3 linked regions of the Chlamydomonas reinhardtii genome follow. The main gene of each other region encodes a partner of the protein of the gene in region 2 in a complex. Links are inferred from orthologs where the notes say so. Each region holds a gene or a part of one and is shown on either strand. Other genes may lie near its edges.

Region 1 (6,995 bases), on a different chromosome or scaffold from region 2:
TCAGGCTATGGAGCTGCACTACACATGTTCAGCCTCCTGATGCGTGGATGCAAAAGCCGTCAGACGCCACGCATGGCCCATTACTGCATGCATGCATGTGAGCGCTGTGCTGGCATCCGAGCACCATGCGGTGCGCTGCCGTGCAGCATGGACGGTATGGTGCTTGCGCCTCGGCCTGATAGTGGCACGTACCGTATGCAGTGTGCCCGGTCGCTCCTCACGCTCATGTGCTCCCTGACATGACATGCAGAGCTTGCTCTCATGCACGCTGGGCCCTTGCCAGCCAGGCCATCCCTACTCGTTGGGCGTCGGTCCCCCTGCTTCGCGGAAGCGCAGGCCCCCACCTCTCGTTCATCTTCACCCATACCGTACTCAATTCAAGTACAGCGTGTGTCTGGCTGTTTACAGGGTATGTCCTGCTGGGCGGACACCTGTGCACACATGCCCCGGCCTCGATGGGCTGGCCCTGGCGCTCCGCCGTACGGCAACACATGTGGCGGCAAGCAAGCCCGCTGCCAGCTGCCTCCACCACTGCTATCAGTCGCTACCGCCTGCATCCGCCATTGCCTGGTCCCATCCCCTGGCCAGCACTGCCTAAGTCGCAATTCCCTACGGACCCACCGCCTCAAGGAGCAGTCTCAAGGAGCGGTCTCAAGGAGCAGTCTCATGGAGCAGTCTCATGGAGCAGTCTCAAGAAGCAGTCTCATGGAGCAGTCTCAAGGAGCAGCCTCGAGGAGCAGTCTCATGGAGCAGTCTCAAGGAGCAGTCTCAAGGAGCAGTTCCAAGGAGCAGTCACAAGAACTAGTCACAAGAACTAGTCACAAGGAGCAGGCGCCAACTCACGTGGCGCGCAGCAAATACCGTTAGTGGCCACAATAGGCTACACGGGCTCATCTGTCTTTAATGGCGCCCGCATCGCCTAATTCTACCCAACTGTCCCCTTCAACGTATCTGCATGGACTGTCCGTCCTGTCTCCCATCTACCACTGAACGCGCACAGTTCCCCCCCCCCCTTTGTACGTCGTTGCGGGGTGATGTGATCGCACCTCGGTCACCGCTCAGGTGGACGCCCTGGCAAACATAATGAAGAGCCAGACCGAAGCGTGTGATGGGCTACGTCTTAGATACAGATGCCCACATTGTGGCTAGTGCACGAGCGGGCAAGTCACGGCCAGGCACGTACAGGCGACCTGTAGAGGGCAACCTGAGTAGTAGGGGTGCGCATCCCAACGAGATGCGGACGCGCCGAACACGTCGGCATGCCCACATCCGCGCCCGCGCCCAGTGCGGCATGCGCAGCCAGCGTGCTCCGGGCATGCTCTGAGGGTCACAAGAGGTGTAAAAGCACGCCCTGGCAGTTTTGGGGCAGATGCACGGGTGCCGGGCCCGTCAACAGAACGACAATTTGACCACTTGGCCACTGTGCCTCTTTGGTGGCACTGGCGGGCTGGCGGCAGTCCATGCGCTCCCGTCGTGCCGGAGCCGTGAGGGGCGGCCAGGCCTGTCAGACCAAGCCGCCGGTGCATCCTGAGGCTTTGCTACATGCCATTTACACACGTAGCGCAAGGGGACGCAGGCAGGCGGGAGGAAGCCCAGCAATCCTCCCCTCGCCCCGTGATGGCCCCGTCATGCTACCGCCGCCCGCATGCGACACAACGCAACACCCTGCTATGTGCCGTCAGCCATTCGGCCTCGCGGGTGTCGTAGAATCGCTGCGCCAGCGTTTGCTGCTACGTCTCCAGCCTTTCCGATTCCGTAAACATGCAGCTGTATGCTTCATGTAATGCCCTTCGTCTTAGAGTGGTTACAGGGAATGCGCTGTCTGGCGCTGCTGTGCGGGCACATGTACACACATGCCCGTTTGGGTGGGGCCCAGAAGGCCAGGACCCACACTGGCCAAGCCAACCTGCAGGGGCAACTTCACTATCCAAGTTGCCCCCTACGGCCCTACGTGCGTGACTGGCCGTGACTAGCCCGCTCGTGCACCAGCCGCAATGCCTCTGTATCTAAGACGTAGCCCACACACTTCGATCTGGCTCTTCATTACGTTTGCCAGGGCGTCCACCAGAGCGGTGACCGCGGTGCGATAACAACACCCCGCAACGACGTACAGTTTGCTCGGCCAGCGCTGGGCAACCCACAGCCTCCCCACAATCCAGGCCCCACAATCCAGTCAAGCCAGTCAGCCCGCGTGGGCGGAGCCACAGACCCCAGACATGCCCTGCTGGCCCGCGGCGCCCCCACGACCTCCCCATCATTAGGGAGCTGGCCGCCCCACGCCGCACTTACATGCATACCGCACATGGATAGCGGCAAGCAAGGCTGGCTACTACCACCTCAGCTCTCAATCACCATTCACAATCCGGTGCCGGCAAGCAGCCATGCAAACAAATCACGTTCCATTGTCTGCCCCGCGTGCTGACGCCCGCCCCCGCGCCGGGCTCGCCGGCGCCGCAGTCGCTTCGCTTCCGCCCGAGTCCGCCACCACGTCCACGGCCTTCGGGACAGCAGTCCGCTGCCGCGCTGCTCAGCTGCGCCCGCGCCCACGCCCTGCGGCACCACACCGTATCCGGGCGGTCAGCTCTTGATGCAGTGCGCGTATGCCACCTAAGCCAGACCACCAGCACCGCGTCCTCATGTATCCACACACACGAGCCATGCCAAATCCCAGGGAGCGCAGGTGTTGCCGCAAAGGAAGGTGGGCCAACGCCTTGGGGTGGCGCGCAGGCTGGCACGCCAGGCCACGGCTGCATCCAGACGTGCCTGATGCCATAACATGGCTGATCCAGATCCATGGCAGTTCGCACCAGCCCGCACCCCTACAACCAACTCACCGCGTCCTGCCTCGCCACGGCCACGGCCGCCGCCCTCGCCGCGGCCCCCACCGCCCTCGCCGCGGCCTCCCGACCAGCTGCGGCCGCCACGACCGCGGCCGGCCACTGTGGGCCGCTTCTCTGAGGTGAGCGCAACCGACACATGGTGGGCGAGTCAGTGCAGGTGCGGTACAAGTGCTGCAGCCACAGCTGGAGCTGCCGGCAGGCAGACTGCCCCGTGGCACCATGAGAACCATGCCCTGTACTGGACTGTACTGGAGGGCACGCCGGCCCCACACCCCGCCGGGCCGCCCCGCCCCGCCCCGCCTCGCCCCGCCCCGCGCCACCCCGCCCTACCCAGTGCCCAGCGCTTGCCCCTTGGGCCCCTTCCCTGTAAAGCGTGTCCCCCTTTGCCCAGGTCCTCACCGTCGCGTCTCAAGTTCTCCTCCTGTACCTTGTCCACCACCTGCCACACCCGCCGGGATACAAGTGGTGGTTAACAGCAGGCCAGTGCAAAGCACGGGTATACGGCAGTCGGTTGCGCCACCATCTGCGGCAGGGCACCACTGCACGGCGCACACGTGCACCTGTCCTCAAGCCCACGTTCACGAGCCCACGCCCCATCATCCCCCCAAGTTGCCCTCCTTAACTCGGCCCCTTAGCACACCGTCACAAGTGCAGGCTTACGGTGTGGTGAAGACAACCCACCCCGCCTCACCTCCTCGGGCACGCTGATGTACTTGATGGTGTTGCCACGGATGTAGGCCTCGGGCATCTTAAAGAACCGCTGCCCATCCTGTGTACGCGCGCATATGTGCCAGTATCAATAGAACTCAGCCGGATACGGCAAGCTCCACACGGGCGTTGCGCCTCCGACCGCAACTCTCCGCCGCCCCTCCCGCTGCCTGCGTGCAGGCGCCCTTATGCTGCATTGGATCTCCAGGCCGCCAGAATGGTCCTGCCGCCGGTAACAAGCCCATATGGAGCTTGTGGGTCCACAGCGGCGTGGCGCACAGCGGCGCGGGGTGGCCTGGTTGCCCCGGGGCCGCCGTCCGGAGCCCTGCAAACCCACCTTGGACGTGCAAATGACCTCCGACAGGTGCAGGTTCATCCATGTGTCGCAGTGCTGGAGATAACCGTTGTACGTCTCTCCATTTTTTAACTCCACAAGCTGCGAGAAGGACCGAAGTTGGCCCGCATGGTCAGCAGCTCGCGCAGGTGGCAAGGTCCTGAGTCCAGATATTACTCACCACCCCATGGCGCTGAGCCGTCTTTAGCAACGAAAGGGGCAGCATGGCTCCGAGAGCAGCACCCGAGATCCTGCGCACGATGCGCCCCGAACCCAAGCACTACGCGCGTCTTGTGAGGATGGAATAGATGATTCCTTACAAGCTACCAGGAGCCTGGACGTGTGGGGTTTGACTTGGTTTAATGTAGTCAGTCGCCAAGCAATTTTTGAGTCGCGCGAGTTGGCTTTGTGTTTCAGAGAAGCTGTACAACGCAGTTTTATATACTGTGGGTGTTTAAAGCTTTGGGGTGCCACAGCCGGTCTCCAGAGGATTTGCTTTCCGTGCTTGCATCAGGCACACAGAGGGGCAGGTCGGGGCAGGTCGGGGGGGGCATAGGGCGCGCCTGGGCGTGCCTATTATGTCGTGATGACCTTCGGCCCTGCCCATGGATGAATTTCTGCTGCACACCCGCATAATGAAAGGGATGTGCGCTGTGGCCAGCTCGTAAGCGAGGGTAGCGGCAGAGCACCCCTGCGGTACAGGCAAGCAAGGGAGGTGTCTGCCCCTCGTGCTGAACACGTTTCCCCCTGCCTGATACCAAACCCCTCAGTCCCTCACTCGCATCAAATAGCGACCTGCCGCGGAGAACGGCGTCCATCGCTCCAGGGAGGATGCTGCTCAGAGTCAGCATTGCCTCTTGGGGGGACAACACGTTTGTTCACATGCATCACGCTGCACGCTTGACGCATCACATTCAGCAAATTTCCCGAAGCCGGGCTCGGTTTATACAGGCACCGCCCGCCATGTGTCCAGCCGCGTCCCACTGTCAAGCACAAGCACAGCCGGCAACAAAACCAATCAGTAATGAATCCCGTCACACGCCGTGCCACGCTATGTTCGCCAGCAAAGACCGCAAACCAGACACCGGCAATCTCAACCTGCGCGCCGGCACCGCTTCTCGGGCGGCGCCGCGCTCGCCTCCACGTGCGTGGCCTTGCCTGCCCTCTATGTTGCACGCATGCACGCCGCCACTGCTGGGCGCAGGGCCGCTGCCTCCGCCGCTGCCGGTCCTGTGCCGCAGCCGCGGCCGCCAGGCCCTGAAAATCCAGGAAAAAAAGGGTCCAACCCAGAACACTCTTCCGCACAGGACCATGCAGAAAGGCACAACCAGCCAGAGGTCGGGCGACACAGTCGCCCTCCAGCGATGGAGGGCGGGGGCGGGGGGCGGCGGGGCAGCATTTACGTCAGGTACCACAAGCAGCATACAATGACCCGTCCCACGCGCGAGGATGGGTGGCCACCAGGCACCACATCCCATCAGCGCGAGGAAACCCTACACGTGGCGCATGTCTGTGACCGCCCCCAGAATTGCAAAGTACCCTAAAGTACCGCGACCCCCAGGCTGACACTACGTCCCAGGTGGCCCAACGCTGGCGGCACTTGAACCAACCACAACGCCGCACGGTCGAATACTTTGAGGGTGTAATCAGGCAACGTACCCATGTCCATGCGCCCACATGCTCCCACAACGTACGGGCCACGATACAATCCCAGAAATAGTGGCGTCGGTCCCCGTCCCCCATGTCGGCACCACACGCACGACACGGCGGGACTGGCTACTTTTATTCGCATTTACGCATTTCAATGGTCGCCCTGCCGCGCGCGAACACGCATTCATAGGGAAGGCCCAACACGCATTAGCAACACACCAAAGGCCTCCTTATTGCGGTTCCCACTTGCATTTCCCTTTTTATGCACAGATTGCAAGCGCTTTGCAGACAGCGCAGCAAGCTAGGGACCAAGCTGCAGCAACGTGCCCGCCTGCGCACGGTACAGCTGAATCATGATGGGCGGCCCCGCAGCCCCCGCTGGCTGCGCCCATCTCAGGCCCCACAAAAACTGCTGAGTAGACTTCGCTGCATCCGGTACGGTAACAGGGGTGCCATGTACCAGCCCGACGGCCCGACGGCACGCGCCGCCGCCTCCCATCCCGCGTGCAGGAGCGCCACGGCCGCTGCAAAGCGGACCGGCTGGCTTTCCTGTTGCTGAGTGTGTTTTAAGAAGACGAACTTGCACGGTGTCGGTATAGTGTGTCACAGCTAGCAGGCCGCACTGGAGGAAACCCGTCAGTAGCGCAAAATGCGAGTCCACATGACCAAAGTCCAGGCGGCGACGAGTGGCGGCGCGCGGCGGAATTATGCGAGGCGGGGTAAGGTACATGCATGCTGATGTTCCGTTTCCCATCGCGGCGGCAGCAGCCAAGAAGGCGGCGGGCGCAGCATTAGCGCTCTGCCGTGGGAGGAGGCCAAGAAGGTGGCCAAGACGGCGAAGCAGGAGAAGGCGCAGACTCGGTGAGGCCGAGGGCCCGATGGGTTAGTGCCCGGGTAGTGACATGTCGGATTATACTGACTTGCTGATGAAGTTTACTATCAACCGTGACACATTTATTGCACCTAAGTGGTCACCTAGCACCGCCAGCTCAAGGATTGACATTTCTTACTGACGACTCGCGACGGCTGCACCAGAAGGATGCAAGACTCTCTGATATTGATAGCAAATGCAAATGCAGATGGTCTTATAATTGCGTGGTGAGCAGCCGGCGTGTTTCTTTGTCTTGACCCCTCGGCGTTTGGCCTTCCGCGTGCAAAATGCCGTTTTCTCACTGCATGCAGCGACCCTGTGACCGGCTCACAAGTATCTGCATATAAAGGTAACGGGTCATCCCGGAACGGGCTTGCCACGCTCGGAAACGACTACATCGTGGCGGCGCAAACGCACAAGCACGCGTTGCACTTCTGGTCCTGGCACAGAGTGAGCAATGCGGGATTCACGCCTCTTGGACTCCTGTTCATAGCGTCGGACCCGGTGGGATGCCACTGCAGCCTCTTCGCCCCCGCTCCTAATCGTCCCCTCCCCCCCTGCCTTCCACACCCCACCCCGCCCCCAGGAGCAA
Region 2 (7,158 bases):
GAGCAACGGACATATGCAGGCCAGACCTGCAGGAGGTGCGTGCGCGCCCACCACACGCATCACCCGACGCCACGCCCACCGCGCCCACCACGCCCGCCCACCCGCCGCACACCTGGATGCGTGCAGGTTCCGGCGCGGCCTGCAGCTGGTGTGCCGCGCCCGGCGGCCGCTGCCGCCCGGCGCCGCCCTCACCATCAGCTACGGACCGCAGGCGGGGAAGGCGCCGCGGCAGGCGCGGCAGGCGGCGCTGCAGGTGCGCTAGTGCATAAGCGCCCGTGTGTCCGTGCGTGTGGGCGTGTGGGCGTGTGTGTACCCGCTGTGTCGTGCGGTTGTGGGGCGGAACAGAAGACTCTGCGTCCCGTGCTCGGGCCCCTTCTCTTCTCCCGCTAGGCCTGACGGCCAGCCGCCCCTGCGCCCACACAGGACCAGTACGCCTTCCAATGCGCCTGCACCGCCTGCGGCGACGGCAATTGCAGCAGCAGCAATATTGGCAGTAGCAGCAGTGGCGGTGGCAGTAGCAGTAGGTGTCTGGAAGCGGCGGTGTGGGGCCTGGCGTGTCCGCGGTGCGCCAGCGCCGCCTTCACCACACCTGCCACCAGGCTGCTGCTACCGGCAGCTGGCAGTAGCAGCAGCAGCGGCGGCAACAGCATCGACGGCAGTCGCAGCAGCAACGGCAGTAGCGCGCCGGGCGCCCGCCTGCCCTCCGCCGCCCTGCCCGCAAACCCCGACCTGGCGGCTGTGCTCCTGTGCGATGCAGCAGCAGCTGCAGGCGCCGCCGAGTCGGTGCCCTCAGGCGCACAGCCGGATGCCACCGCCGCCCGCGCCAGCAGCGCTGCTGGTGCTGGTGCTGGTGCTGGTGCCGGCGGCAGGTGCGCCTGCACCGGCTGCGGCCGCTTCATCGCGCCGGGCGAGGAGGCGCAGGCGGCGGCGGCACTGGCGGAGGCGGCGCAGCTAGAGGGGGCGGGGCATGCCGAGCTGGGCCGAGCCTTGGCCGCGTTGCAGCCCGGCAGCGGCGGCGGCGCGGCGGCGCCGGCAGCCGCGGTGGAAGTGGCGGAGGCGGCGCGCACTGGCTGGCGGCGGCTGGCGGGCGCAGCGGAGGCCCGGCGGCGTGTGCTGCCCTGCACCAGCCGCCTGCTGGGGGCGGGACTGCACGCAGCCGCCACGGCGGCGGCCGACGTCCTGGCGGCCGCGGCGGCGGTGGCGGCGGCGTCAGTAACTGGGTCGGCGGCGGTAGCGGAACGCGGCGCCGCCGTAGCTGAGCTGGCGGCTGGTGGTGCCGCCATGGCGGTTGAGAGTGTGGCGGCGCTGGCGCTGGTGTACGGCTGCTGCAGTACGGAGGTGTTGTACGAGCTGGGGGTGTTGCAGGGGCTGCTGGAGGCGGCGGCGGCGGCGGGCGCGGCGGCGGCGGTGGCAGGGAGGGACGGCAGTGCTATCAATGCGGGGGTGAGCGCTGACGGCGAGACCGGAACGGGGGCGGGGGCTGGCAGCGGCGCCGCGGCGGAGCCGTATGCAGTGCCGCCAGAGGGGCCGACCGCGGTGTTGGCGGCGGCTGAGGCCTGCTGGCACCCGCGCTGCCCGCACTGCGGCACTGCCGGGGGTGCGCACGAGGCAGCGCTGCTGCCGCGGCTGGCAGACACGGCGGCGGCGCTGCGGGCGGACCTGACAGCAGCAGCGGGAGTGGGGGCGGGGGCGGGCGGATCGCTGGCGGCAGTGCGGCGCCTGCAGAGCTGTGTGCGCTGGCATGTGCTGGGGGACTAACGAACGGGAGCGAGGGCAGTGTGTGGGCGGAACCGCGGGACTTGTAGTCCAACACCACACGCAGCTCTCATGCGGCAGTGGCGTGAGGGCGGCGAGGCAGTGGGCAAGTCGTCGATATGCAAGCGCACGCCGAAGTGGAAGTCAGGACGGGATAGTCGAGTTCGCTGGCCACTGTTCTTTGGCTTCGCCATTTCGCTACTGCTGCTTCGTACTGGGCTACAGGGCTACTGGTACGCTGGTTGCCTTTGCTACCGGCACCTTTTACACATCCACGGAGGACACCATACTGATCCTGACTGATCCTCCATCCGCCGCCCCCAACCTTACCATGCAGCAGCCACACACACGCGGGCCGTCCGGCGGGCTTCAGATGTTTTACACACGCGCGCAACACCTGGGGGAGAGGGAGTCTCTGCGTCGTACAGGCCTCAGCTCGCCGTCCCGCACATCCCGAAACCCCCCACACACAAGCTCTGCACCTCCGGCGAGCGGCCCACAGCCCCACACCCTGCACCCGCACTCCTGTACATCAGTCCGGAAAGACCGACCACCTACCCCAATGCAGCCAGTCAGCCCAAAGGACCCAGGCAGCTCATCGCTCCCAAAACTGCAATCAGGCAGTCCGCCCGTGTCTGTGCCCTTCGCCCTGTGTGCAGCGGCACCGCATGCCCCACGACGGCTTCCTCGATCCGTTGCAAGAAGGGGCGAGGAAGCCGACAGACTTTCACCATCAAAGCCAACGCCACCAGTAACCCCGTTGTGCACTTTCCAGGCCCTAGTCCTCCACGAGCCGCCAATGTACGGCACTGACCAAATGCCAAGTGTGGAAAGCACCGCACGCCACGCCCGCGCCGGCGGTGCGCTCCGGGTCCCACGCGGCGGCGCACCCCCAGCCCCCCCCTGTGGCCCAACCCACGCCACCGCCTGCCGGCAGCTCCGCAGCGGGGCGTGGGTAGGCAGGGTGTCGAGCCACAGCCACAGCGCCCCCGTCCGCCTGCTCGCTCGGCCGCCCGCCGTCCTGCCCGTTCGTGTGCCTGCCTGCGCAGGGCGCCACCAAGGCCTCCGCATGTCCGCTGCCTGGAGCCACCTGGGCTGCTGTCTCCAATGAGGCATGTTCACCCACTGACGGCACCAGGTGTGGCGGTGTGAGGCGAACGGCCCCCGGCCTGACCGCGTGCAGCGCCGTGTCCAACCCAGCCCAACTCAACGCAGCTGGCTGCAGGGGGCTGTGCGGCTGCATCCGGCGGCAGCTGTTGCGGCTGCGGCAGGACGGCCGCGGTTGACAGCCTGGCTGACAGCTGTCGGGTGCCGACCCAGGACGCGGGCAGGGCTGGTGCCACATGTTACTCCACCGCCCGCCAATCCAGCCCGCACGACGGCCGTCCTGTGAAGGGCCCCCGCTGCCCCTGCCCCCGCGCCTGCGTCTGCCGTGTCGAAATGCCGCTGCTACTGCCGCCGGCTCCGGCTGACACGGCTGACACGGCTGACACGGCTGCCGTGCCGCCACCGGGCGCTGGCAGCCACACACGGCTGCTCCCTTCCTCCAAAGCTCCTGTCGTCCTCACGTCGTCTCATGCTCCGCTCGGCTTTCCCATATGCCTCCTGCCCTAAAACTCCTGAGTCATCCCGCTCCTGCTCCTGCCCCTCGCCGGCCCAGCCCGGCCCACCCTCGCGCGCGGCGCCCGCTGGACCATGAGCCCGCGGGCCGCCCACCCGCCCGACCCAGCCGGGATGGCGCTCAGTGGCGGATGGGCACCAGCGGCGCCGCCCGGATGGCTGAGAGGTCCACTGCGCCGTCCGCCTCCTCATCCACCTCGCCCACTATCGCGCTGTGCACAACACAGAGGAAGGACGTGGGTGGCGCGGCAACACGGCAAATTGTCAGGTGCGGCGTGTACTGGATTTATAGATGACGGCTAACATCGAAACAGAGGAGTTCCGGCTCTCAAGGCCGTGCCGCAGGGCAGGTAGCACGCGCCGTGCGCCCCTCCCACCCGGGTCGACTTACACGTTGTCTCCTCGGATGCAGTATATCCCGGGGTTCTGGATGACTTGTACACCAGACTGCAAAGCACGCAGCCAAGCAAGGCGGAGCACGGCAGGGTCTCGGGGTCAGGTCCCTGGCTGCATGTCAGGACGCCGCAGGACACATGCTGTGTGGTACGCCGCCGCATACACCGAGGCAGCCGAAGTACCACACGCCTGTCCCCGCATGCACAAATACACGCCTCCCCCAGCGAGCTGGGCGGAGTGTACCCCGGCTGTCACGCGCCCTCCCAGACGTCCCGCCTCCTGCCTGCCGGCGCCGGGTCCGCACCTTTGCGGAATACACCCGTTCTTGGCACTCTTGCAACAGCAGGTTCCAGGTCTGGTCGTACCCGCGCAGCACTCCCTGCGGGTCCACACAATGCGCCAGCCCAGGTGAGCACCGCATCATGACAGCAGCCCGTCCAGAGCATGGCGATTACACGTCAATCACCCGACATCCCCGCTGGGCAGCAGGAGCAGCGCGCCGCGCGCCCCGGCGTGCCGCCTCCTGTCCAGGTGACTCCTGTGGGGCACCGGCAGCGCTCCTCCACTCACCACGTAGTGCTTGCCGTCATTCGTGATGACGGTGACTTGAGCTGCATGCATAGGTTTATTGGGGTTAGCGGGAGAACTGAGCTAGTTGCGCAAGATGCGCGCGCAATTTGGAGCTGCCTGGGGCGTGCGGGTACTTACATCCAACCAGGTCTGTAAGTTTTGTGTCGTTGCCTGACATTGAATTAAGAAATACTAGTCAGATCGGTCCGGCCCGCGTTCGGTGTGCACAACCTGCAAGCTTTGATCGGCGACAGAGATATGATTCAACGTGGCCCTAAAACACTGCTTGCATGTACTGCACAGCACGTCGACATGTCACAGGAACGGTGAGAGAGCAGCATGGAGCAATGTGGAAACCCATTCTGCCCCAAATAGGATAGTTGTAGGGCCACGAAAGAATCCATATCATAAGTATGGCGCATTTAAATGCTTATCAAGGAAACGAAGACACCGGGGTCCTCGGGCCGGCACGAATTCTCGAAACTCTTTTGCAATATGGAGCCCTGCCACCTGCTGCCGCTCTCACACCTTTGAACAGTTGACATGTTACCGTGTATGCGCAGAGGAGTAGCAGGGGGAAACACACCGTGGGGCTTCACAGCGGGGCCAACCCCCCTTCATTAGCCCGCAACCCGCCTCTGAGTGTATCCTACTAGGGACAGCTCAGACGCTGGCAGAGGCACGGCATGTGAGTGGAGGTGGCCGATGGAAACTTGCAGGCTGGAGGGCTGTCCGGCACACCGGTGCGGGCGCTGCGTGTCGCGCCGAATTTCGCATGGCGGCGGCCGGCATCAGCGGCACACCCAACGCACTGCAGTCCGTCCGTTGCGGCGGCAGGACAGGGCTGCGGGAAGACCGTGTGTGCTACCTCATGTGTCGGCTGCAGGTGCGGGATGGGGGCTGGCACGCACTTGGGGGGAAAGGCTGCCGCCAGCACCTCAGAAGGCATCGGCATCACCGCCTTCGCACCGCCTTGGCACCGCCTTCCGCGCACCAGCGGCGTGCTGGCGGCAGGACCCGGTGATTGCTGCCCCTTGGGAGCAGCCTGTGCGTCAGCAGCGCGCTCGCGTGGCGGCTAGCGGCTTGAGGAGAAGGAGGAAGTCGCACGCACAACCGCAGTGGCTGTGGCAGTGGCAGTTGCAATGGCGCGGCAAGCTGTAGCCAGGCATGTTGGTGCAGCAGGGGGGGGGGACAGGGGCGGCGGGGCGCAGGCTTGCGGCGTGGCCGTGCAAGGCGGTCTGGTGCACCCAAGTGATGCGGCGCATTCGGTGCGGCAGCACATGCCGTGATAGTTTGAGGTGCCGCACTGCAGGCACGTGAGAAATGTTATGTGAGAGGGCCCATAAGCGCCCACCTATGTATGCTTGCCCAAGGGCCTCTTGCAAGGCCTGACAACTTCAGTCACTACCACCGGCTTACTCGTGCATGTTCATGGTGTTTGCCTTGATGTTCCTGTCACAGCATGCGGAACTCATGTACCACACGGCCTGCATCTTGAAAGCGCGTGATTGCGTGCTGTGCCAACGGGCTAGCAAGGACTTGCTTTGGCTGTTATGCGCAACTTCAGGCAGGTCAGGCGGTCGGGCATTCCGTGCCCGCGTGCAGGCATCTGAGGCCGGCGGGTGCTGCGCGTGCACAAGCGCTACGAGTCTACATTGCATTCTTATTAGGGCGCATGCAATGTCCGTATGAGCGTTATGCTTTGGTGCTTTGCTTGCTCGCGTGTGGCGCGGGCTTGACGGCGGCACGCTACGTTCCCGCCTGCAGTTCTCCGCCACCCAGACCGCCATCCACACCCCCCACCGTGTTCTGTACGTTTGCCTCCACCACACAATACATGCTATCTGCGTCCGTTATCACAGGCTTCACGGCGAATGAGCCAGTCTGAGCCGGTCGCAATCCAGCTTTTCGCTGCAACCATTTGCAGAGCCTTCTGTTCATACGTACCAGCTCAATTCCTCTTGGTTAAAGTTACGAATTGATTCCTAATCTTTTCCGTCAAAGAATTCAGCCGCTCCGACACACGATGCACACCCTCAGCCAAACCTCGAGCCGGGCGACCCTCTCTGCTCGGCAAGGACGCAAAGCTGTTGCTCTCGGCAGCCTGCCGAAGCCCGTGGTGGCTGCCCGTGTGCCGGTGGCGTCGCCGGTGTCGCAGCGCGGAGCTCCGGGCGTGACGTGTCGCCGGAGCGTCATTAGCCATGGAAAGGCGAGAGCACGAACCGTGACCGGGTAGCTTGTGTGTGGGTATCGGGCTTGGTTGCACAGCGCGGCGGTCCCATGTGACCCAGCGGGCCGATCGTCGCGACGTAACTTGCGCCCTGGCGTTTGCAGGTGGAGAAGATCTCGGGCGAGCAGCTGGAGGTTGCCATCGCCTCTCGCGATACAACTCTAATTGTCGACTTCTTTGCGGTGCGTGCGGGGGGCGGCGGGCGGGTAGTGGCGACGGAGCGTTGTGCTTGCTCCCTCCGGCGCCAGCGGCCCACATCCGGCGTTGTAGGGCGGGGGGTTGTCGGCGGGTGGTGCAGGGCGGGGATCGTCGCACGATCGCTCCGCCCCTCGGCCGCGTGCTGATGCAGCGTTTGCACGCGCCAGCGCCGCCTTGCGCCGTGCCCACCCTCAAACGTGCCGTGCTTGTCTTGATGTCTTCTGACTGGTGCGCAGACGTGGTGCGGCCCCTGCCTGCTGCTGGCGCGTGAGCTGGAGCAGGTGCGTTTGTGTCTGGGGGCTGTGTATGGGGGCGGCTGTGTGTGCGTGGGGGTAAGGGGGTTGTGTGTGCGTGGCAGTCATCCTGTGTGCTGGGCAGTCAGCGCTAGG
Region 3 (6,613 bases), on a different chromosome or scaffold from region 2:
GCACGCACGCACATCCATCGCATTGTGCGGTTGTGTCCTTGACGAGTGTCATCACGTGGCCTTGTCAGCTGTGGTGTTTGAGCGGCAACCCATTTGTATGGCTGGAACCTCACCTCTCCTGCCATCGCCCTTACCCTCGTACCCCCACAGCACGCTGCCGGTGTCGGCGCTGCAAGGGAGCGCCAGCCCTCGCAACGTAGGGTCGCCCTCCTCCCGCGTGAGGGCGAACCTGCAGGAGTCAATATCTGCGAGCAAGCTGTACAAGGACCTGTCACCCACCCGGGTATACCAAAGCAGCAATGATGAGAGCAGGGTGACGCTGCCGGACCTCTTCCGGCAAAAGAATGGCCTGCTGTCCTTGCGGCCAACATACTCGAACGAGCCCATTGGGGGTGATGAAGACGACGCTGGGCGAACGCCAAAGCTGCTGCAGCGGTAAGCCCACCTTGAAGAGCATGCAAGTAGCATGTAGGGGCGTCAGTGCAGTGCGCTGGAACCTCTCAAATCTCCATGAAGTCCATGGGGCGTGTACTGTGCGAGGCTTGAGCTGTAGCTTCGGTGCCTGTGCTCGGCCGTCGTCGCTCAACAAGCTGGCACTCATTTGCACGTGACGCAGGCTTGAGGCTTTGTTGGAGGAGAAGCTGGGCCTGGTGGAGCGGCTGGGCAACGGCAACAAGGGCTTCGCGGCGGCACAGCTGCGCACGGACGCATTCCGACAGGTGCGGCTCCATGTGATAGGAGCACAGGGCGTGTCCTAGTCAAGCGCTGCCGTTGACGCGCGCAATCGCCACCGCTGGGCGCCGCTCACTGCACATGCCACCACCCCTTGCGCTGTCGCACAGGTGTTTGACGCCTTCCTGCACAGCTTCACAACGTACCGCTCGCTGCTGCTGCGCATCAAGCAAGAGTACGACGTGGCGCTGGACGACGCGCTGGCGTCACTGTATGATAACGTGCACATGAAGGCGGAGCTGGCGGTGGTGGACGAGCGCATGGTGCGTGGCGCGGTGTGGCGTGGCTGGCTGACAGGACGTAGTTGGGTTCCATCCTTCGGTGTTTGCTGTTGCAGCCTTGCAGAGCCCCCTGCGTGCGATGCGACCAGTGGCGTTCTTCGACCCTTACAACCCTCTTGTAACAAATGCGATCTACCCGCTCCGTGGTCAACGCTGCGCTCCCTTTGCCTGGACACGCAGGCCACGGCGGTGCAGCAGGCGCGCGCTCGTGCCATGGAGGACGCCAGCGCCGTGCGCAAGGAACTGCAGGACCAGCTCAACATGGAGGAGAGCAAGGCCTTACAGGTGAGGGCGCGCTGCCCCAAACTTGGGCACTACCGTATCTTCCTCGTTACTGCCCATCCAGATACTGGGCATCACACTCCGACCGCATCACCCATCCGCGCATGCAGCTCCACAGCACGGTACTACTAAAATACCGGGAGCCGCAAGTGCACGCCCCTCTAGACTGGTGGTTTCTGCTTTCATGTCGTTGCTCGTTCCTGAGCACCACTGTCGCCATGCGTCACCAACCCTAACAGGCCGAGGCGCGCTGCCAGGCCGCTGAGCAGGAAATCCAGACGTGCAAGGCCAGCATCCAATCACTCAAGCGGGAAGTGGCCGAGCTCCAACGAGCCAACACAGATATCAAAAACCAGCTCCTACTCAAATCCAGCTGGGGCGGGGGAGCCGCCGCCCCGAAAGCTGACGCATGAGCTTCCCTCAACGCCAGCTGCGCTTGCGCCGTCGGCAACGCGCGTTAAGTACTGCTTGTGTACCGTCATATTGTGGGCGTGCCACAATGGCACTCGCGCAGGCAACTATTGAGTCCTGTCACCACTTGCGTCAGTCCGTCAGAAGTCATTATGTCCTAGGGCATAAGGCACACAGCATGTGGCTGTGGCCTAAACCCGAGGCCACCCTAGCGGCATCCAACGTTACAAAGCTGCACTTGTTTTTAACCACCGCGAGCCTCGCGCCGCGTGGCGTCGTGAAGCACCTCCACGTCCACGGCCCCGGGTGGTAGCTGTAAGAGCAAGGCAGTCAGGGTGTGTGGGTAGCTTAGGAACACGTACACGATTGTGTGTGTGGAATTGTGGAGTGATTCCCGCTCCAGGTGCTAAGCGGTAGGCGTGGTGAATGCGCCCTAATGGCCAAGCACATATGCTTCTGTAACATTTGTGCAAATGTGCGGCACGCTAGGCCACTTGCTTTCATGAGCAGGGCAGCAACAGCGTCAGCACCATGCCGCGTGATGTGCAACGTTTCCTTTGTCATGCCACCCCACTCACGTGGACGTAACGCACGACGGAGCCACGAATGAAGCAGTTGCGCACAGACATCTGCAAGGATGGGGAAAGGGAGCAACTGAATGTGAAGGAGTCGACATCATTTGCCAGCGCCGCATGCCCGCAATGGGCTCTCACCAGCCCAGAGTGTTACACCAGGAATTCCCGGCTGTAACAGCATCAATATAATAAAGGCCCCAACTTCCATCCACGCCTCACCCCGGGGCCACCATAAAAGACCTCCAGGCCGACTCGCTGTACCAGTGTGCTGCCCCAAGATACGGTTCACAACATTCCCCGACTGTCACTGTTACGCCACGCTGTTACGCCCGGCCTTGTCAAGAGGACGCCAAGGCAACCTGTGGACATCTATACCCTCTCTGCCATCAGCCGCCATCACCTGTCGTGGCTGCCAGTTTAACCGCGCTCGGCCCTGCTGATTCATGCTTCTGAGTCGCTACCCGCCACGCCGCGCACCAACCGAAGTACCCAGCACGTGTTCTCATCCACCTCACCCTGCCTCTGCCGCTAGCGCCTTTCCCCCTGACCTCAACTTGGTTCCCCCGGCAACGTTGATCGCCCCCGACTGCGCCAGCCTCACCATGTGCGGGTACTTCTGCTCGTTGTGCACGCGCGTGTTGGTGAGCTTAATGTTCAGGTACTGGTCCACGCTGTGCAGCGCGCCGCTAATACACAAGTCATTCTTGAGCTCCACCGTCACCTGAGCAGTTCCAGAATGCCACCAGTCAGCTATCCTGCTGCGGCAAGCGCTGCCGCAGTGCACAGAGTCCTTAGGCTAGTCCGCATGGCGCGCACCTCCTTGCCCACCAACGTCTTGAACAGTGAGAAGAATAACATGGTACTGCTACTTAAGCTTCAACACCAGTGCTATGATCTAGAGCTCCGAAAGCACAGCGCTGAACGCAGCAATCTGAACCGGCAAAGGACAGGCCGCTAACAGATACAGAACGAGGCAGTGGAGAGACTAGTAGATAGGATGCACCTGAAGGACAGCGAAGGGCGAGAGGATTTTAGGCAGCACCGATGCAGCCCAATCCCAGCTGACACGAAACCCTCTCCAAACGCCACGATTCAATGTTTAAGCAGTGTCTACACTCTTAAAACCTTTGGATTTAGCTGACGGGCAAAGCAACGCGTGAAAAACCTGTCGCCGGCTAACTGTCTTTGGCGCTGAGTCGCCCGTTGGTGTAAGAACAATTTGCAGCCATGGCGGACACGGTACAATACCTAATGGAACAAATGATTCCGGAGCTGGAGGACCTAGAGCAAAAAGGCTATTTTACGCGCGCGGAGGTTAAGAAAATAGTCCAGAAGCGACAAAACTTTGAGTACCTTCTAAAACGGAGAGCGGCGCTCAAGGAGGACTATTACAGGTGCGTCTCGAGTGAGCGCCGACCGTGCATGCGCCGCCGGTCTTTCCTTGAATAGGCGCCAATTGGCTGGCATCTGGTTATAAAATTAGGTACGTCGACTTCGAAATGAAGCTGGAGGAGCTGCGACAGGCGCGGAAGGCGAAGAAGCACATCAAAGGTGCGAGAAGCGGGGAGGCGGGGTTCTGCACGGGGTTCTGGGTTTCGGCACGCGCACAGTCCGAAAGTACCGTCCACGCCCGCGGGCGTATTAAAGTTGCCTTAGGTGACAACTATTTGGGAGCTTCAGGAGTTCCTCTGCCGAACAGACTTGAGGGGGCGCATGTGCTGTGCTCTGCAGGGAAGAAGGGTCTGGCGGAGGTGGCGATCGTGCGGCGCATCCACTTCATCTTCGAGCGCGCTGGGCGCAAGTTCCGCAGCGACCTGAGCCTGTGGCTGCGGTGGATTGAGGTCTGCAAGCGGTACAAGAGCATAAAGCAGCTGTCCAAGGTGTGCTGAAGCAGTTTGCGCGCATGTTCGGTCCGGGTGATTTGCGCGCCTGTGAAAAGGATGCGGGCCAGGGCCCGGAAGGCCGGGCTAGCCATTCAGAACAAGCCGTGCTCAGCCATGAACACGTGCCCACTTGCAGGTCATCACCAAGGCGCTCTCTCGGCATTCCACGGTCTCTGCACTGTGGATTGAGGCAGCGCGCTGGTGGGTAGCGGGCATGCCGCCAACAGCCCGGCGACGTCCGCACAAGCTCTGCCTCGCACAACAGCGGCCCGTCATGTGTTGCCCCTCTGCCCGGTGTCATCTCCCGCCTTGTCTGGGTACTGTGAAGCGTGCTTAAACCTAGAACCTGTCACGCCCCACCACCACCACCACCACCACCCAATCTTCCTCATAGGGAGTTCGACACCAACAACGACATGGCGGCGGCGCGCAGCCTGATGCAGCAGGGCCTGCGCATGTGCAAGGCGGATGAGGACATGTGGCTGCAGTACTACACTCTGGAGCTGCTGTACGCGCTCAAGCTGCGCGTGCGGCGCAAGGTGCTGGGTCTGGACGACCTGGCGGCGGGTGAGCGCGGGAAAATGAGGGGTGTGGGGCAGGTTGCATGGAAGGGGGTGGGGAGTACCTGGCCATGGAGAACAGATTGATACATCAGGCGAGGGAGTGCATCGTTTGGATTTCAGACTCCAGCGGACGAAGCGCGGCGCCAGGGAGGGGCACCCTGGAGTGACAGGCCTCACCATCATCAGAAACACGAAGGACGCAGCCCATGACAGCCTTAGGGGGCACGCGGTTGCTGACTGGGTTGCCAGCTGGTCGGCACAGCCGCCACGACACCGCCCACTGCGGAGCGGGAGGCGCTCGGGCAGGCAGGGGACGGGGCAGGCGGGGCGGCGCACCAGCAAGCGCACTCCCCATCGCGTGTGAACACAGCCGGTAACACCCTCGGCACCCGATCCGTCTTGACTCTCCCGCGCCGCAGACGTGAGCGGCGAGGCGGGCACGCCCGGTGCGCCTTCCGCGGCGGCGGTGCGGGCGGTGATGCAGGGCGGCGTGGCGCGCATCGTGTTCAAGAACGCGGTGGCGGCGCTGCCGGCCCGCCTGGGCTTCCGCAGCCGCTTCCTGGACGTGCTGCGGCGCTTTGAGTACGGCTTCGTGGAGGGGCTGCTGGACCAGGTGTACGACAGCATCCAGAAGGACTTTGGGCAGGTGGGTGGGGCGGCGGCGGAGGAGGAGGGGGAGAGGGAGGGGGAGGGGGAGGCGCCGGTGGGGGTTGGTGTCTTTGGCTGATCTGCAGGCGCGGCTGTGGGGCAATTGTGGACAACCTGGTGGCTGGAACCGATAGTCAGGCACGCACGCGCACATCAATGTCAAGCCGTTACGTTGCGTTGCGGTCGCAGTCGGAGGAGGCCTGGGACCTGCTGGCGCGGCGCAAGGTGGACTTTCCCGCCAGCCGCACGGGAGGCCCGGCGGCGGCGGAGCAGACCGAGGAGGCGGAGGCGGACGCGGCGGAGCGCCAGCTGCAGGCAGGCGGTGCCGAGGGCGACAGCGAGTCGGGACCAGCGGGGCCGTGGGACGCGGACGCGCACGCCGCGGCTTGCCAAGTGTACGAGGCGGCTCTCACAGCGCTGCCCGGGCCGTGCATGCACCAGTTGTTCGCGGGCTTCCTGTGCGGCACCCTGGAGCAGCTGATGGAGGCGGGCGCGGGGCCGGGCGCGGAGGCGGCGGTGGCGGCGGCGGTGGGCGTGGCGGCGCGGCTGTTTGGGCTGCTGCAGCGGGCGCACAGCGAGGGGCACAGCACGACGGACACCTACCTGACGTGGGCGGAGTGGGCGGGGCGGGTGGGGCAGCCCAAGATGGCGCTCAAGGCGGCGCGCAAGGGCTGTGAGCGCTTCCCCGCTGACGTGGCCATGTGGCGGCGGCGGCTGCAGCTGGAGCAGGCGGCGGCGGCGGGCCGGGAGGAGGAGCAGCTGCTGCCGGTGCTCAAGTCGGCGCTGCAGGCCACGCAGCCAGACCAGGTGCGTTTTGAGGTGTGGAATGTGGAATCGTCGCGGTGGTGTCAGCCAGTCGCGTTTCGGGGCATGGGCAGGTACCGGAACTGTTACTCGCGTGCGTTGGCATTGTGTGCCTAGAATTAGAGGCACCGGTCAGTTGTGTGCGCGCGAGGGCCATGCGCCTGTACCGCCTCTTACGCGACCGCCTCCCCACCCCACCCCGGCGCTGGCTGGTTCCTTCAGGCTGCGGAGCTGTGGCTGATGGCGGTGGAGGTGATGCCCGCCTCCAGCCCTGAGTTCGGGCGGCTGGGCGAGATGCTGGGCATGGCGTGCGCCAAGGTGGCGAAGAAGGCCGCCAGCGGGGGACTGGGGCAGGCGGCGGCGGCACTGGTGGGCAAGGCCAGGTGAGAGAGTGAGCCCGTCGGGGCGGTGGTTCCCAGCGCAGCGCGGGCCAG

The links.
Region 1: CHLRE_02g142850v5 (region 2) and CHLRE_06g251300v5 share a complex: the UniProt entries of both Arabidopsis thaliana proteins name them as parts of the heptameric LSM2-LSM8 complex. The link is inferred for Chlamydomonas reinhardtii from reciprocal best matches to the Arabidopsis thaliana genes LSM8 and emb1644.
Region 3: CHLRE_02g142850v5 (region 2) and CHLRE_10g441950v5 share a complex: the UniProt entries of both Arabidopsis thaliana proteins name them as parts of the heptameric LSM2-LSM8 complex. The link is inferred for Chlamydomonas reinhardtii from reciprocal best matches to the Arabidopsis thaliana genes LSM8 and LSM2.

Annotation. Positions count from the first base shown.
Region 1 is NC_057009.1:318,503-325,497, forward strand, and holds CHLRE_06g251300v5 (uncharacterized protein), read right to left. Parts: upstream 4,363-6,995; 5' UTR 4,109-4,362; coding exon 4,064-4,108; intron 3,985-4,063; coding exon 3,886-3,984; intron 3,610-3,885; coding exon 3,532-3,609; intron 3,280-3,531; coding exon 3,240-3,279; intron 2,955-3,239; coding exon 2,835-2,954; intron 2,551-2,834; coding exon 2,528-2,550; 3' UTR 1,793-2,527; downstream 1-1,792. Other genes in the region: CHLRE_06g251350v5 (uncharacterized protein), read left to right, coding at 6,572-6,630, 6,715-6,853, 6,990-6,995. UniProt on the Arabidopsis thaliana protein: Component of LSM protein complexes, which are involved in RNA processing. Component of the cytoplasmic LSM1-LSM7 complex which is involved in mRNA degradation by promoting decapping and leading to accurate 5'-3' mRNA decay.
Region 2 is NC_057005.1:7,708,146-7,715,303, forward strand, and holds CHLRE_02g142850v5 (uncharacterized protein), read right to left. Parts: upstream 4,648-7,158; 5' UTR 4,520-4,647; coding exon 4,480-4,519; intron 4,383-4,479; coding exon 4,342-4,382; intron 4,151-4,341; coding exon 4,076-4,150; intron 3,823-4,075; coding exon 3,767-3,822; intron 3,588-3,766; coding exon 3,497-3,587; 3' UTR 2,008-3,496; downstream 1-2,007. Other genes in the region: CHLRE_02g142900v5 (uncharacterized protein), read left to right, coding at 127-253, 424-1,758; CHLRE_02g142852v5 (uncharacterized protein), read left to right, coding at 5,235-5,420; CHLRE_02g142800v5 (uncharacterized protein), read left to right, coding at 6,368-6,550, 6,676-6,753, 7,006-7,050. UniProt on the Arabidopsis thaliana protein: Component of the nuclear LSM2-LSM8 complex which is involved splicing nuclear mRNAs. LSM2-LSM8 binds directly to the U6 small nuclear RNAs (snRNAs).
Region 3 is NC_057013.1:3,152,079-3,158,691, forward strand, and holds CHLRE_10g441950v5 (uncharacterized protein), read right to left. Parts: upstream 3,278-6,613; 5' UTR 3,140-3,277; coding exon 3,098-3,139; intron 3,003-3,097; coding exon 2,883-3,002; intron 2,336-2,882; coding exon 2,285-2,335; intron 2,020-2,284; coding exon 1,951-2,019; 3' UTR 1,452-1,950; downstream 1-1,451. Other genes in the region: CHLRE_10g441900v5 (uncharacterized protein), read left to right, coding at 151-435, 617-719, 843-995, 1,194-1,427; CHLRE_10g442000v5 (uncharacterized protein), read left to right, coding at 3,509-3,675, 3,765-3,832, 4,013-4,161, 4,301-4,365, 4,559-4,731, 5,147-5,373, 5,565-6,182, 6,402-6,562. UniProt on the Arabidopsis thaliana protein: Component of LSM protein complexes, which are involved in RNA processing. Component of the cytoplasmic LSM1-LSM7 complex which is involved in mRNA degradation by promoting decapping and leading to accurate 5'-3' mRNA decay.